Linked DNA regions of Lepisosteus oculatus. The protein of the gene in region 1 purifies or fractionates together with the protein of each later gene. This does not show direct contact. Links are inferred from orthologs where the notes say so. Each region holds a gene or a part of one and is shown on either strand. Other genes may lie near its edges.

Region 1 (7,221 bases):
TCCATTAGTAAGAATTTTAAGGATACTGGTAAAGTGGCCTCCCTCTAAGGAAGAAGACAACTTGGCCTGTGAGACAAGTGGTTTTGGGAGGCAACCGTAAATCTAAAAGCTAGAGATAAAGATCTCCAACGTTGGAGCCTTCAAGGACATTAAGTGTCAAAAACTAGCATTCAAAATTGCCTGAATATGGGATTCATAACCAGGCTGCAAGGAAGAAACCTCTACTAAAGCAGAGTGATAAGAAGAGCCATCTGAAGTTTGCCACACATCACTGGAATGGAACCACGTATTTTCATCAGATGAAATTAAAACTGAGTTATTGAGACACGCTCATCAGCATTATGTTTGGTATATAAAAAGATGAAGCTCATGTTGAGAAAGCACTCATGCTCACTGCCCATTGTGAAATACTGTGGAGGGGATGTTTTGCATCTACTGGTCTTGGAGCCCTTGTCGAGATTGTACATTTCCCTAACTCTGACAATTACCAGGTCATTGTGACCAGACACCTGGTTCTTATTGACAAGAAGCTACAGCTTGGCTGAAAACAGACATTCCAACACGACGATGATCCAAATCACCTGTCCAAATCAACAAAGGCATGGTTGACTGTACAGAAAACAAATGTTCTTGACTTGGTGATCTCACTCTCCAAACCTTAATCCTACTGAACATTCGTGATTCTAACTCAAGGTGACAGTTCACTAACAGAAACCAGAAGGGGAGAATTTCCCCTAATCCCTGCCAGAGGAGGATCTGCAAAATACTAACAGTAGAAGTGTGAATAAACACAACCCTCTTGTTTTCTGGATTTACATTGATTGTAACCCACAGGATTTTGGTCTGTGCAATGGTATTCAGATTCACTACAAAAAGTTAAACTTGTTGTAATAAAAAAATTGCCAAATTGTAAAACTTTCCATTATGTGATGATTATTATTCCAATTTCATTAGGGGCACAATAAAATTCATAGGGCAGTGTATGTGATGAAACCAACTTTAAAATTATTTATCAAAAATATAATGCATAATTTATTGATGAAAAATGCTAAAATACTGTTTAGTAATTTAAATAGCCATGAATTCGAGAAGAAAACATGACGACTCTAATCATTATAGATAATAAAAATATGCAGACATAAAACATTTCTTACAAACCATCAAATGTGTCTATTCTGCATCTGTATGCTTATGCTGTTCAGGGAGTCAGTGTTTTATTAACATCATTCGTGAGTGAAGCACAGATGATGCACAGGCTGTAATCGTGGTGCTGAATGACTTCAATGAGGCATTCTCAGAGTACAGTAGCCCCTCTGGGAAATAACCACACTACCCAAAGGGTGAGGCACATCTGAAAGAGCAGTCTTATGCTGTTGCTAGCTCTCCTCGAACTGCTTAGTCAATTATCCAGATTGAACCATCTGACAGGAGTTAAAATGGTCAGAGGCCATTAAGCATTTTAATTGACAAAAAGCTGCTCTTGAGCATGTCTGCGCTACATTTCAGCTCACAAAAACCCTTTTCCTTGTTTTTCAGCACTGTACAACACCACTTCTTAACGATGCCCTGTAACGAACATGAGACACATTACACCTGCAGATCTAATCAGAGTGCAGACACCAACAAGCCTTTGTAAATCAGACTAAAGCCCCATCTGCAAGCAGTAGCCAGACAGATCTCCTGCTTCACTGTGGCTTAAATCACGGGCCCACAGGAGGAAGTCCAAAAAGCTTCGGAGGAGATGGAGAAAGCATTCGTCCCCAGACCAGAGACACCTTTGCCCAGTTGTGACACAGGCTCACCTGGAAGATCCGGCTGAGTAGTCTCGGATGCTACAGTCCCTGAACAAGCAGAACCCCCGCGGACTGGAAAACTAAGCTGTTGCACCGACACAACCGGAATCCGAAAGCAGCTGTGCTCGCTCAGAAAACGAAAAGGAACTTCACATAACATGCATTTCATTCAAAGCAATTCACCTGTTGAAAGGTAACAGCGTTGACAAGCAGTCGGGCGTATATGCCTGCATTCCTGTAGCCATTACCTAATGCCGGCTTCAGACTGCTGAAGTAAACCATTCAAACAGACCGAGTGCTCAACTGCACGAACTCGACACCGACTGCTTCCAACTCGGGTCACATACGACACTGTCAAGAATGACGGCGTTTTATGCCGTTTTTATCTCCTGGGGGGTTTTCTTATCTAGAGGCTATGCGCAAAAGAAAAAGCGACTTAAGCCTTAAAGATTAACACGAATAAGGGCATGGTATTAAAAAACTAATCAGAAACAGGTGCAGCCTGAAGTATTTGCCAACCTTACGCCTACATGAGAGCTGCTAACCGAACCGGTCTTTAAAATATGCCGATTACGTACGGCATGTCAGAATTATTCAAGCGTACACTACCCAAACCCTTCCACATCGGTAGTGCTTACAGGGCAGGCTGTACCGGGAAACCGAGCACGTTAAACCAAAGCAGAAGTCAAAAGATGCCGTCTCATGTTTTCATAGCATCGCAAGACAGCTGCTGTTACCCGTCGCACGGAAGCTCTTTCCGTGAGAAGTGGAGAAAACTCACAATTGTCCGCGTTACCGTGTTTTCTGGTCAGGCTTTTGAGCCGTAGACAAGTCAGCTTGTTCGTCAGGCAAAACGCCAGCACTGTTTTGGGCGCTTTGAGACACAGAAAAACCTCCGTGTTCTGTCGTTCCTTGTAAACGTAAGCAGTTCATCCTGCATACTCGCTGACTTCATTCCGCCTTTCAACATTTTACGGTTTAATATCCCAGTAGGCCTTATACCTTCCCACTACTGTAACCTTTAAAATGCATTGTTAATTGCCTGGCGTTTAATGTTCCACAGTTGACACGGTTAGATTTTCAATCGAGAAAAGCATATCTGTAACTGCCCGCGTCTGTCCCGTCGATTATTATCCGTCTGTTTACAAATAATACATTGAGCCAGAATCAGTACCTGAGTGAGAGACGTGAGCGCCGCCATCTTCCCTGTTGCTGCGGGAGCGCGCACACCCTTTCGTCGGAAACGCGCCTCCGAGGGAACAAGAACTCGCAGGATGCGCGGGGCGTGAAATCGCACTTCACACGTGGAAAACGCGCCGGGCAGGTTTCTGGATGTTCACTCACAGCCGCTGAACTAAAACACAATACGGTACAGTCACTTATTGTCTGCCGTGCAAAGTAATACCGATATATCCGACTGTTGCACGAAGCGCCTGCCTCTTACACTGGGCATTAACATTGGGTTTCATTCTAATACGGTTCAGAATAAACATAAATAATTACGTGTAAATCTCTATATTAAATGAATAAAATGATGACAATAATCCATGCAAAACGGAGGGGTGTGCAGTAATTTATTTCTGAAGCAATTACACGTACAAGCACCCGAACCGACCTCTTAGCTTGAGCTTAAATCGGTCATTTCTGGTTTCAGAATTTTTTTCTCGGATAGTGGAAAAACCGCAAGGCTGTAAAGTGCCTTTAAAGCTCCTGCTCAGCGATCTGTGGCCAAATACCGGCATAACCGCGAGTGAATCAGCTAAGCGACTGCAGTGTTTCGAGAACCCGTTTTCGCCTAAAAGCCCTCGGCAGACAGAATATGTTTTATTTATGTTAATATTCTGGGAATTGCCTTCCGCCTTGGTTTTCCAGAAAGAACGTTAAAAACCCCATATTTGTCTGACCCAGAACACATTTACACATGCGCAATAAGAACAGTTACTTGTTCGTCAAAAAGAGCGCTGGACAATGGATTGCTGACCCTATTTTCTCTATAAATGTCATTTTTACTGTGCGATCACTGAAATATGCACTACAAAAATACGTTTTTTGTAGAAACCTGGAACTGCACATATTCTGTAATGAAATCTCCGGACACAGAATGTCGAGTACAGTGGACACCGCTATATCGGTAGTTGTCCGGGACTTTTATCAATAATAATAAAAAAACAAAACTGTTAAAAAGCCCATTGGTCCTCGTCTACGTAGGACTCCCAGCATTCCTTATAAGGGCTTTCAGGAACAATGTGCAGTTTGAATTGGAATCTCAGTGTTTTCCAAAAACGGAAAATAAGTTCTGAACGCACCTCGCAATAATGAATCAAAGTTAAATTAACAAGTCAGGGATTCATAACACCGTGCTGTCGGTACATCACTGATTGGTCAGATCAAAACTGCTGCAGGGTTTGTTTTTTTGCTGATTCATACCGGATTTTCAGAGGCGAGACGATGGTGACCCCCACAGTGTACGGCTGCGCTTTCACCTACAATGTAAAGCCTCTTTAATGCACCTCTGGGTGCGTTTCGGAGATGCACAGAAACAGTGCAGGCGACAAGTCACAGTCCCCTCGCCTGTGAATGTTGTCGTTCATGTACATCAGGTTTGGCTTGAGAAACAAGGACTTCAAGATGTTCGAGGTGCTGCCTTCCACACACTCCGGATTGCGAAGCGATGTGTTACAGGAAGAAAATAATAAGAATTAATTATAATTCCGTACACGTATATAGCGCTTTTTCTGGACGCTTCACTCAAAGCGCTTTACAGGCAATGCCATAGCAGCCCACTGAAGCTCAGCAGCTGTGAGCCTGGTCAGTACCTGGATGGGAGACCTCCTGGGAAAAACTAAGGTTGCTGCTGGAAGAGGTGTTAGTGGGACCAGCAGGGGGCGCTCACCCTGCGCTCTGTGTGGGTCCTAATGCCCCAGTATAGTGACGGGGACACTATACTGTAAACAGGCGCTGTCCTTCAGAGGAGACGTTCTTCCTGACTCTCTGTGGTCATTAAACATTCCAGGGTGTTTCTCGAAAATAGGCCAAATTTCCCATCGATCCCTACACATCAGCTATCACCAGGGAGAAGAACAGAGTGATGAACCCAGATCAAAGATTTTGGAGAAACACCCTGGGGTGTTTAATGACCACAGAGAGTCAGGACCTCGGTTTTACGTCTCATCCAAAGGACAGTGCCGTTTTACAGTAGAGTGATAACAAAAGAATAATAAAAGAACATTTCATTCTCAAACTTGTGTTTTGTCTTTCCAGCCTTCCCAGGAGCCAATCAATCTGCCAGCTTATCTGTGGACAGCAGAAAATAGCAGCATCCACTGGAAACCTTCACAAACATAGGATAGCATGCAAACTCCACCAAGATAGCACCCAGATCTGTGGTCAGCAATGCTAGCCACTGCGCCACCTGTAATATAATCATCTTCGTTTTGTGCATAACCAACGCTGTGTACATGTTTTGAGAAAGGATATAAACTGTTATTTTACAATACAGGTCTGGAATACTTCAGACAAGAGGATGAGGACTGTTGAGCCACAGAACAACTCCTCTGATGAAGAGGACTTTTTCTGTTCTATGAAGGTTTCTTGCGCACAAGAAAGTATCTTTTATCATGAACTGTTAATGGATAAAAGTTGTGACTATAATTTAAATTCCTGATTTTTTACTTAAAGTTAACTATAGGTATGTGTAAGAAAGTAATGCTGCTGTTGTTAAATTGCACTGCTGTGAAATTCAGGGCAACAGCACATTTCCATGGTAAGACGTTTGCACTATAGTGGATCTCTAGAACAACTATAGTGTTCATCATACATATTTTTAAAGTAATAGTTATTTTACAACGCAACATCGAACACTTTTTACACCCGCGTGTATAAGGATACAGTCCATCACCACATACCATGTGTCCTACACCTGTAATTCATTGAAGACTAACCCTTTTCGTGTTGCAATTCAGGATCAAGAGCGCCCTCTTGTGGAGTATTGAAGTAAATGCTGTCGTCTTGTGCTCAGGGACTTCAGCTAATGTATGTACTGTATAAGTGCATTGCTCCAACGAATTGAAAATGAAGTCATTAAACACTGCACATTTAAATGATCATAGCTAAATTGTGCCACGATCTTTATCAATGTATTATTTAAAGGCTAACCATAAAACCTGCTGGACAAGCCCTCTTCATGACCAGAGTTGAAGTACCTGACTATACAGTAACAAGGAGAACATAAGGTTAGATATGCACCGTATAAGTATATTGATGGTGATGGACTGTATAAGATACAGTCCATCAGCACATACCACGCCTGAAGAAGGCTCCACGGCCGAAACATTGTGTTTTCTCTCTTCTTTTTTTTAGCATGGAATAAATCTATTACTATTACACAGAACACCTGTCAGATGCACGCTTAACCTCCTGTCCGTGAGGGAATGAGACCTGGTAATGTGAGGGGTTTTTGGGGCACATTTAGGGGTTAATGTACACCTTGAGGTTTCACCAGCAATCGTAGGGGAGATGTAGCCCCACCCAGTACTGTGCAATAAGGGGATGCATAAAGAACAGACAGAAAGACTCTGTTGTAAAGCTTTGTAAAAGCTATTTATTTTTTACATAATGCTGAAATCGATGAATCCCAGAACCATTCAGCAAACTGAGCCTTCAGGAAGTAATGCAGTTAAGGCTAAAACTTTTCTTCTTTTCCCCTCCCCAGAAAGGCAAAAAAAAACTGAAATAAAATCTGAAACTTCAAACAGAGAAATACCCAGGAAGTCAAAGAGAAAAATCACCACCACTGCGATACATAAATGAGTTCTACAGCATGCCGAAGGTCCAACAGGGCACTAGGTAACTTAAAAAAAACCACATGCACCTCTCCCATCTCTCAGGGCAACATTCTCGCAGTTAAAGTGCCGTCTCTTTAAACAGGAAGGTTCAGCGTTGATCACACATTATCATGACAGCAACACAAGAAAAGAAAAACTGAGTCATTCGGTACAGTCAAGGAGAAAGCTGCTCTTATTTTATTTCAATGCACTTTGTGCTTCGGCCAACAAGTTTTGCATCTCTGCATTTCTTTCCACTCTAAATTCTTCTAATTCGCTTTAATGAACGCTGCAGAAATAGCGAACCATACGCATACCTCTCATGCACTTCCATAGTGAAGTGCTTTTTTTTTTTTTTAGAAATTGGGAAGGAATTCGATGCTACAATTTCAATGTTAAATAAGTAGGTCTAGGGAATACAGGAATAATTGATGTAGATGTACTGCTTTCTCACTGTACATCATATAATGTTCATCATTGATGCTGAAATTAGAAAAAAAAACATCTTAACTATTTCTTGAAACCAGTAGCTAATAAAAACAAGAGGGAGACTATTTAGTGTCACACAATTGAAGCCTCCATTGCACACTGCTTATCAGGTGTAA
Region 2 (7,880 bases), on another chromosome or scaffold:
AGATTTTTGGGAGCTTGTATCATCGTTGCTTCCATCCTGAATTTTTTCACCTTCGGGTTTATCGTCCCCACAGTCACTCTGTGAAACAGGACCCTTGGGGCCTATAAAACACAAGCAGGAACTGTCAAACTCACATCTTTTAATTTTGAAGAAGCAATCTTAACCCCCATTCCATTCCAAAAAAAACATTTACAGAACTAATGTTAAGTCAGTTACTTAGAAATAAAAACATTACTTGCGCAGGGGACCATATAATTCTCTGTTTTGCTCATTCTTGATGCCAGTTCTTTACCAATCAACTACAGAGCAATTAATCAATAGTGATTTCATTTTGCCTCAGTATAACATGCTCAGTAGTATGACTGTAACATAATTTCACCTATTTCCCCATCTTGCCTTTCGCTAATGTTAATAATAAAATGTGAAACTTAATTTTCAGTGAAGAGCTTTGCTTCTCTTGAGATGTTTTTTTCCCCCTAACTGAGTGAGGTTTGTTTAGTTTTGAATGCTCCAAGAGTATTCAGTCCAATTCAGAGTTTGTTTAAATGGCATTCAGCTGAGCTCATCTTATGGCCTGTTTTGAGTAGTGATTGTTTTTGCACTCGGTAAAGTGCAGTTTATATGGAGAACAGCATGAAAACCAAATGTCAATTGGGAAATAAATCAAACTGCAACAGAATAACAGAAAAATTCATTAAGACCACGCCAAAACTATTTTACACATACAAATATCTACTATATTTATGGTATATTTACTATTTGTTTCTCAGGGGTTGAAAGACAAAGGGTTGCAAAAGCTGCAAACAGTGCAGAGTCTATTTAAAAAAGATGAGCCAGATGAATTTCAAAATCAAAGACATAAAATAAGGCCACTGAACATAAAAAGGTTATTAACAGAAAAAGAGGCAGTTTGGCCTACATAGCCCACTGGGTGACTAGTAGCTAAGTGACCTGAGGATCTCATCCAGCCATTTCTTGAAAGAAGCCATGTTGAAGAAACCCGCTTCAACAACATGGCTGAGTAGTTTGTAACAGAATGCCAAACAAAACGCAATGAAACTCATTTCCAGTTAGAATGCACTAACTCTGGTCCAGCAACACCTCTTTGAACAGCAAACAGGTTTTTCTTGGAGGTCTCCCATTTCCAGGATTAACCAAGGCCAGACTACTCAAATCATGTTGGCTTCTAGACTTCTCCATTCAAGACTACGGAAAAAAAAATAATTTTGCATCTAACACAATGAACAAATTACTACACATTATTATTGCAGTGTAGTCACAAGCGAACCAATTCCCCCTAAAAATAAGGATGTTAACCAAGAAAACAAACCTCAGACCACTTTCACACAAACTCAGTTAAGGTATGTGAAGTGTGAATCTGCACATTGCCGGTGGTGGAGATGAGTTATCATTACCTGTAAAGTGTCTGGAAAAGCGCTATATAAAATGTAACAAATTATTTCTTTTTTACCACAGTTGAACTGTACCACCCCATAAAAAGTAGCAAACTTTGCTCGAATCCAAAGACCAGGTTTTCTATCACCCCAGATTTCTACAATGATGAACGTTTCAAGAAACGATGACATCATTTCAGGAAAATACACAGTGCCACCGAGCCCTGTTACGTCGAACAGCTAACATACACATCCGTTGTTATGAAACCATAAGAACGCAGTTGGCAATTTACCTTGTGAATTAAAAGCGGGAGGATTGATCTCTTTTGTTCGCGCTTTGAAAACGACGGCCTTGGCAACAGGCTTTTTAACCTTGAAGTCATCTTCGTCCACTGAAATGAAAATACACCAGCAGGTTAGGAAAAAAAAAAAACGTGCACATTAATTGAATGCAAAGAACAGAAACGAAAAACAACAAAACAATGTCAATAGCAGGCTTTTGATGACATTTTCTATAATGCAATTATAGATCAGAATGGAACATACGTTATATTTGAGTCCCTTTTTTGGCTGCATGGTTCAATAATGACTCCAGCACAGGTCTGAGCTCTAGGCATGATCAGCGATGACCCTCCCTACTGTGTCTTGGCTTAAACAGATATTCTTCGTTTCTGCTTCACCTGGGTTATGCTCGCGACACAGCGACAGCTCGCTAAAATATCAATTCTGTGAAGAGATCCCATGCATGTCATTTGCATCTGCAGAATCTACTGCAGGCTGTCTCCGTGCATGTACCACATCAGATTCACGCAGAAATATAAATACTGGGGCGTACCTTGTTTTTCATCACCGAAACTCAATAGAGTGATTTTATTTTTCGTCAGTTTCTTCTCAGCAGCGTCTTCCGCAGCCGTATCTTCGCTTACATTTTCTGTGTGCGGATTTTGTCCGGCGACTGAATCCGGCCTGGAGCTCCCGGACTCCCGCTTAGACGTGCAGGAAATCCCCCGGCTCTGCGGATACTTCAGTAACCGGGGAGCAACCGAGACCTTCACCTCGTCAGTGGCTTCTCCCTGCTCTTCTTGTGAAGGCTCATCTTCTCCGCTCGAATCTCCTTTCCTCCTCCTGAAGTTTCTCTTTGGTTTCTTACCGAACATATTCAGGTGGGAACTGCAATAATATCTCAACAGTGCGGATCGCAAATGATTATCTTATGTATTTTTTTTTTAAAAAAAGTACTAAGCCTTACAGCATCCCACGTGTATCTCGGTAGTGAAGTAAATGAAAGACTAAAGCACAATGAAACACATTTACATTTTTAAATGCTAAGCAAGTTAGCATAAACCAATTACTCCATCTTCATTTATGGGGGGAAAAAAGTACACTTACAACACTTCTTCCGATTTGCTTCAACAACATTTACGTTTGTACTTTCCGGTTCCCTGCTCTCCGGCTGCATCATGGGTAATGTAGTCCATAAACAATGCGTCGCTCTATTTCTTCCTTCAAGAACTCTGTGGAAATTAAAGTAAACTTGGCATTTTGAAAACCTTCAATAAAAATGTTAAAGAATTAGAACTTTTCATAGAAGAGCCTTTTTGAAAACTAAAGCAAACTATAATTAAAGGACAACGGTGCAGCCAGTTCTTGCTTGTTAAAGCCAAATAGAATTGCATAGCCACAGTTGGGCCCAGAAATCACAGTCCTTAAATATTCCCTCAGGCTGTGAGAGGCAACTTACTTTCTCTCTCCCTCCTACTTATTTAAGAGAAGTTAAGAGATACAGAGCTGTCAACCTATGAGTCAGTGCCAAAAAGAAAACCTCTGAGTTGTCCATGTAGCAGGTTCTCCTCTGTAACGTCTTGATTGTAGATTTCAAGCGTTCAATGACTCTAAGGCAGAGACAGACAAGTGTGCTAACTGAGTAGCAGAAGGGTGATATTCATTCTATTATGATGAGGACTTGGAGTCCTTGAATTTCTTTGGAATAAAACAGACCCAGACATCTTGGTCTTTCTTGGGCAACCAGGACAAAGGTTTTAGGTTTGGCACTTAGGTGCTGTACTTCTAACCTCATGAAGTGGGGACATTGGTCCCTATTCAACAGGCATAATGTTATCACCAAGATCCCCATGACATCCACTTTTCCTGTACATGCCTTGTCCCTGTCCTGGCTCAAGGAAAGTGAATTTTACATATGCATCAGAAACAGGCTTAAAGCACTGAATAATTAAAGTTCAGAGAAGCTGGACCTTGCTGTCTTCTCTTCCTATGGTGATTTCAATAGACATTTTAATCCAATATCCCGAATAAAATGGGCTGTAGAAGGATGCCTTAAGACTCAACAAATAGTACAGTTAATGCTCAAGGGTTCACAGTATGCCTTCTGTATATCAGGAGTCATAGGCTCTGACCTGTCACCCCACTTCACAGCAGAGCAATGGCAGCTCATTGTAGCACAGCTATTCTGTTCCAAGAACAATGGTGTCTCTTTCTGTTTTCATTCCAGCCTTTAACATGGTAAACCAGCTGTTTAGTTGTTCAAGTAGATTGATTTATTACCATAACCCTGCTCTTCAGGTGCTGCTGCTTTAAAGAGACCTTAAAAAACCTGCGGACGCACCAGGTCTCCAGGACCAGGAGAGCCCACCCCATGCTAGTACTGTATATATAGTGGATAAAAAAATATTAGGTTGAAATTGTATGATGTACACACTAATTTGTACATTTGTAAATGATCTAAAGTCTATTACATTGGCACTCCATTAATTACATCACCACAGTTTGAACAATCTTCCCCTTTCTATACTCTCTACTCTCAGTCCATTAACCAGTTCTTAATCCCAAAACTGAAGTTTCCCCAAATGCAACTAACTTTTAATTTGAGAATTTATTTTTATGGGAAACTTTTATCAAAAGCCTTTTGTACATCATAAAGTAAATCATACAGCCTGCTTTACTGTTGTTGCTTATTCAAGAACAAAGCGCTTAGGCAAATACTTTTTACCTTCTTTAACTTGGTTCAATTTTGTCGTCCTTTGTACTGCCAGGCACTGTATTCACTCTTTTTTGTCTTATTCTACTAGATATTATCATAAAGCAGTACATTTTAGTGTGTGTATAATCTCCACCAACTTGAGTTCCAATGCCTTGCAAAGTCAGATTTAGTAATTTCAGTACATTACAGTATATCATGCAGCCACATTTGAATGAATTTATTTTATCATCAAAAATCTGAGATGTGAATAAATATAATTTTAAAACTAAAAAGGAGTATCTGTTGTTTCAACCAATTTTATTTTTTGCACGGATAGCTTTTAAGGCGTAGTCCTGCAGGTATGCTGACAATGCATAGCTTTTTTGCTATTAAGACAGGCTGGGTGTGATGCGTACCTGAACAGTGAGAGGGCAGTATGTGCAAGGTTGCAAAAATGAGATTTCCCCTCCCATCCTGGGGTTGAATAGTAATCAGGCTCCGTGTTGTCAGCCATGTTGTTGGTGTAATACTACAGTGCTGCTTCTAGCAAGCAACAGGTACAAGACTGAAGCACGTTTTCTGGAAATAAACATTGAGTCTCACGTCTAATTACTTATTTTGACCGAGAACATTTGTTGATAATGGAGATTTTCCAGAGTCGGGATTAAACCAAATCCAAAATATTTTTGGTGTCCTTCCACGAAAAGTAAGTAAATTTAAGAATTATGAATACTTCATTATACATATACAATATGTATATAAATTATTTTACCAAGGAACATATTCTATGTATATATACATAAACATAGTTTGGTGCTGGAATTTTATCAGTAAGTAATGTAATTAAAGCTTTAAAATTGAAACTTGTCGGTTACATTGAAAGCGAGGATGTAAACAAGCACGAATACATAGGATTTTTTTAATCTAGTGTTATAAGAAACAGGATTACTTGATATATTGGGGTTTATGTTCTGAATCATTTATTGTGGTTGCAGCAGTAAAGAAATACATATTTGAAAATTTCCTTTTCACGACTCGCTTGGCAGGTTGTTGCGAATTTAAAGCAAGTGTCTTGCAGCAGTAGGCAAAGGAATGAAACTTCATTGCACTGGTTTCTCTGCTTTATATAAGGAATTTAATGAATTTCATGACTTTAAGAAATAATTTGAATAATGATTTTCAATTTTTAGAAACATTTACACACTGTTTTATTGCACTTCTGATGTATGGGTTGTTTTTCTTTTCTTTTTGGAGATTGAATTGTCTTTCATGTATTTTAAAATGTTAAGAAAAAGTGGTCTACATGTTTCGAACCACTTTTCTTAAGCATTTTTTTCGTGTTTAGAGCGTCAGTACAAGAACCCTCACAATTGTAACACGATGAATACTAGGAAATTAAACAATGATAAAGTAATTTGAGTCTAGTGAGTCACTTGAAGGGCATTTGTTCAATTAATGCAGGAATGTACTGTATATAGTGGCAAAATCGACCAGGTTCTTGCATTTTTTTAAAACGTTTTACAGTGAACAGTGAAAAGCAGTTTGATTATCTGGACGTTTTGTTACTTTGAAATCACTTGCTTTCTAACAGGAAACTTTTGATTCTTCCTGGCAAGCTGTGCGAGAAAAAAAAAATCAAAATGAAGACTCATTCGGTTTTTCATTAATGGATCCCATCCTCCCCCTTTTCCTTATTTGACTAAGAGAATCTCGGGTCAGAGATAAAAATAGAATATTCATGAATCTAGTTTGTTGTGTCCCTGCACGGATGACATTTAGATGCACCATACAGTCCTCTTCAATAAGGGGTGGGTGGAAAAGACTCTATTACTATTTCTAAACTATTACTAGTGCTATTAGAAACTGCTATTGGCTTTGTGTTGTTTAATGCAAAAGAGGCTGAAACTGGTTCGAATATTTTAACACTTCACAAGACAGGTGTGTTGTCTTGGGCAGCTGGGCAGCTGGGGACTAAAAAAATTCAGTCATGGCTGAATTTTTTTAACTTCTGAACTTATTACAGTAATTTATCATGCAACACACAATGTTTTAAGTTCCTTGTGTTCCCCTTTTTAGAAAGCCAGAATAAAACAGTGCCTTAAATTATGAGTCTTGTTAGGTTCCTGCATCCTGTTCGTCAGTTGTCAGTTAAAGCGGTCATATCCGATGTTACACGTGGTCAGACCAGGATGTGTATGTGAATATAACCAATCTCTTATTTCTTTGTATCTTCGAGTATTTGAACATATTGGGGAGTTTAATTCAATAATTATTTTGTTACAGGATAACAGTCCACTTTGTTAATACTTTCATAACCTCAAGCCACAAGATGAGAAGGAATTTGCTGTAGATCTAGGATGATATTTTTCCTTTTTCTGCACTGTAATCCCTTTTGGTGTCTCTTTAAACCATCTTCCTTATGAATACAGAACAGTTAGAGTTTGTCTGTTTTGTGTAGGAGTTGTGGCAGCCAGAGAGTGAAGGAGGATGTGTATTTTGACTGATGAATTGCAGTGCGTAAAGGGGTGGATTTATATGATATGAGCATAAGCAACATTACAAATCTAAGGATGCCATTTGGCCCATCTAGCTAGTTTGTTTGCTAGTAGCTAACTCGGGTATTTTATCTAGCCATTTTTTGAGCTATTGGGTTCAACAACATGGTCTCTGGTTTCCAGATTCCCACAACCCTTTGTGTAATATGTGCCTAACATTTTCATTTGTAAGTGCCTGTCTCCTTAGTTTGCACTTGTATCATGTAGTCAATGTTTCACTGATGGCTCTGGTATATTGGTTTGACTTTGTCTGCACCTCAGAGAATTTTAGTTTATGCTGGCTGGTGACTTTCACTGGTGCTACGTGTATATGTGAATATTGTTGCAAGCCTGATGTTGTCACACATGACTTTCAGTTCTGTGGATGACGAATCTTCCCTCATTTTAATCCAAAGGGTGAGATAAGCAAATGAATCATTCTGTTTGTGAACAAGGAGGCATTACTGCGCTGAGAATAAACTACAGAAACTGACAACAGAACCTGCTCATGTTTGTTTCCTAGTAGCTGATTGGTCAAAGCATTTTTACTATCCATTTCTTTAAAGAAGCTAAGTTACTCTCTTCAGTAGCATGGCTAGGTATCTTGTTCCAGACTACCACAACCCGCTGTGTAAGAAATGCTTCTTGTTCTTTGTTTTGAATTCTTATCTATCTAGTTTCCACTTGTCCTTTGGTTCTTGTTTTGCTGTTGGTTCTCAAGAAGTCTGTTTTGTTGTCTTTGTCTGTGCCTCACATGATTTTGAAAACCTCAGTCGCATCAATCAGAATACAGTAAAAAAGAACACCAGAAGCAAAGAAAAATGGCAAAAACAATTTTATCTCCAAGGTGCTTTACATACTTACATGGCTGTAAGTGAGCAGCACTACATACAGTATTTCTTTTGTGTATCTTAATGTAATTTAATATTGAAAATTCTTGAGTTGCTTTGCTTTCATTTTCTGAATAGCTACTTC

What was found.
Region 2: the proteins of eps15l1a (region 1) and itsn2b purify together in Homo sapiens (affinity purification with mass spectrometry; 5 studies listed by BioGRID and IntAct, with this or other methods). This does not show direct contact. The link is inferred for Lepisosteus oculatus from reciprocal best matches to the Homo sapiens genes EPS15L1 and ITSN2.

The regions. Positions count from the first base shown.
Region 1 is NC_090724.1:5,378,954-5,386,174, reverse strand, and holds the start of eps15l1a (epidermal growth factor receptor substrate 15-like 1), read right to left. Parts: upstream 3,050-7,221; 5' UTR 2,995-3,049; coding exon 2,968-2,994; intron 1-2,967.
Region 2 is NC_090697.1:20,601,404-20,609,283, reverse strand, and holds the start of itsn2b (intersectin-2), read left to right. Parts: upstream 1-4,877; 5' UTR 4,878-5,077; intron 5,078-7,880. Other genes in the region: intron Large complex component GCFC2, read right to left, coding at 1-101, 1,688-1,786, 2,230-2,551.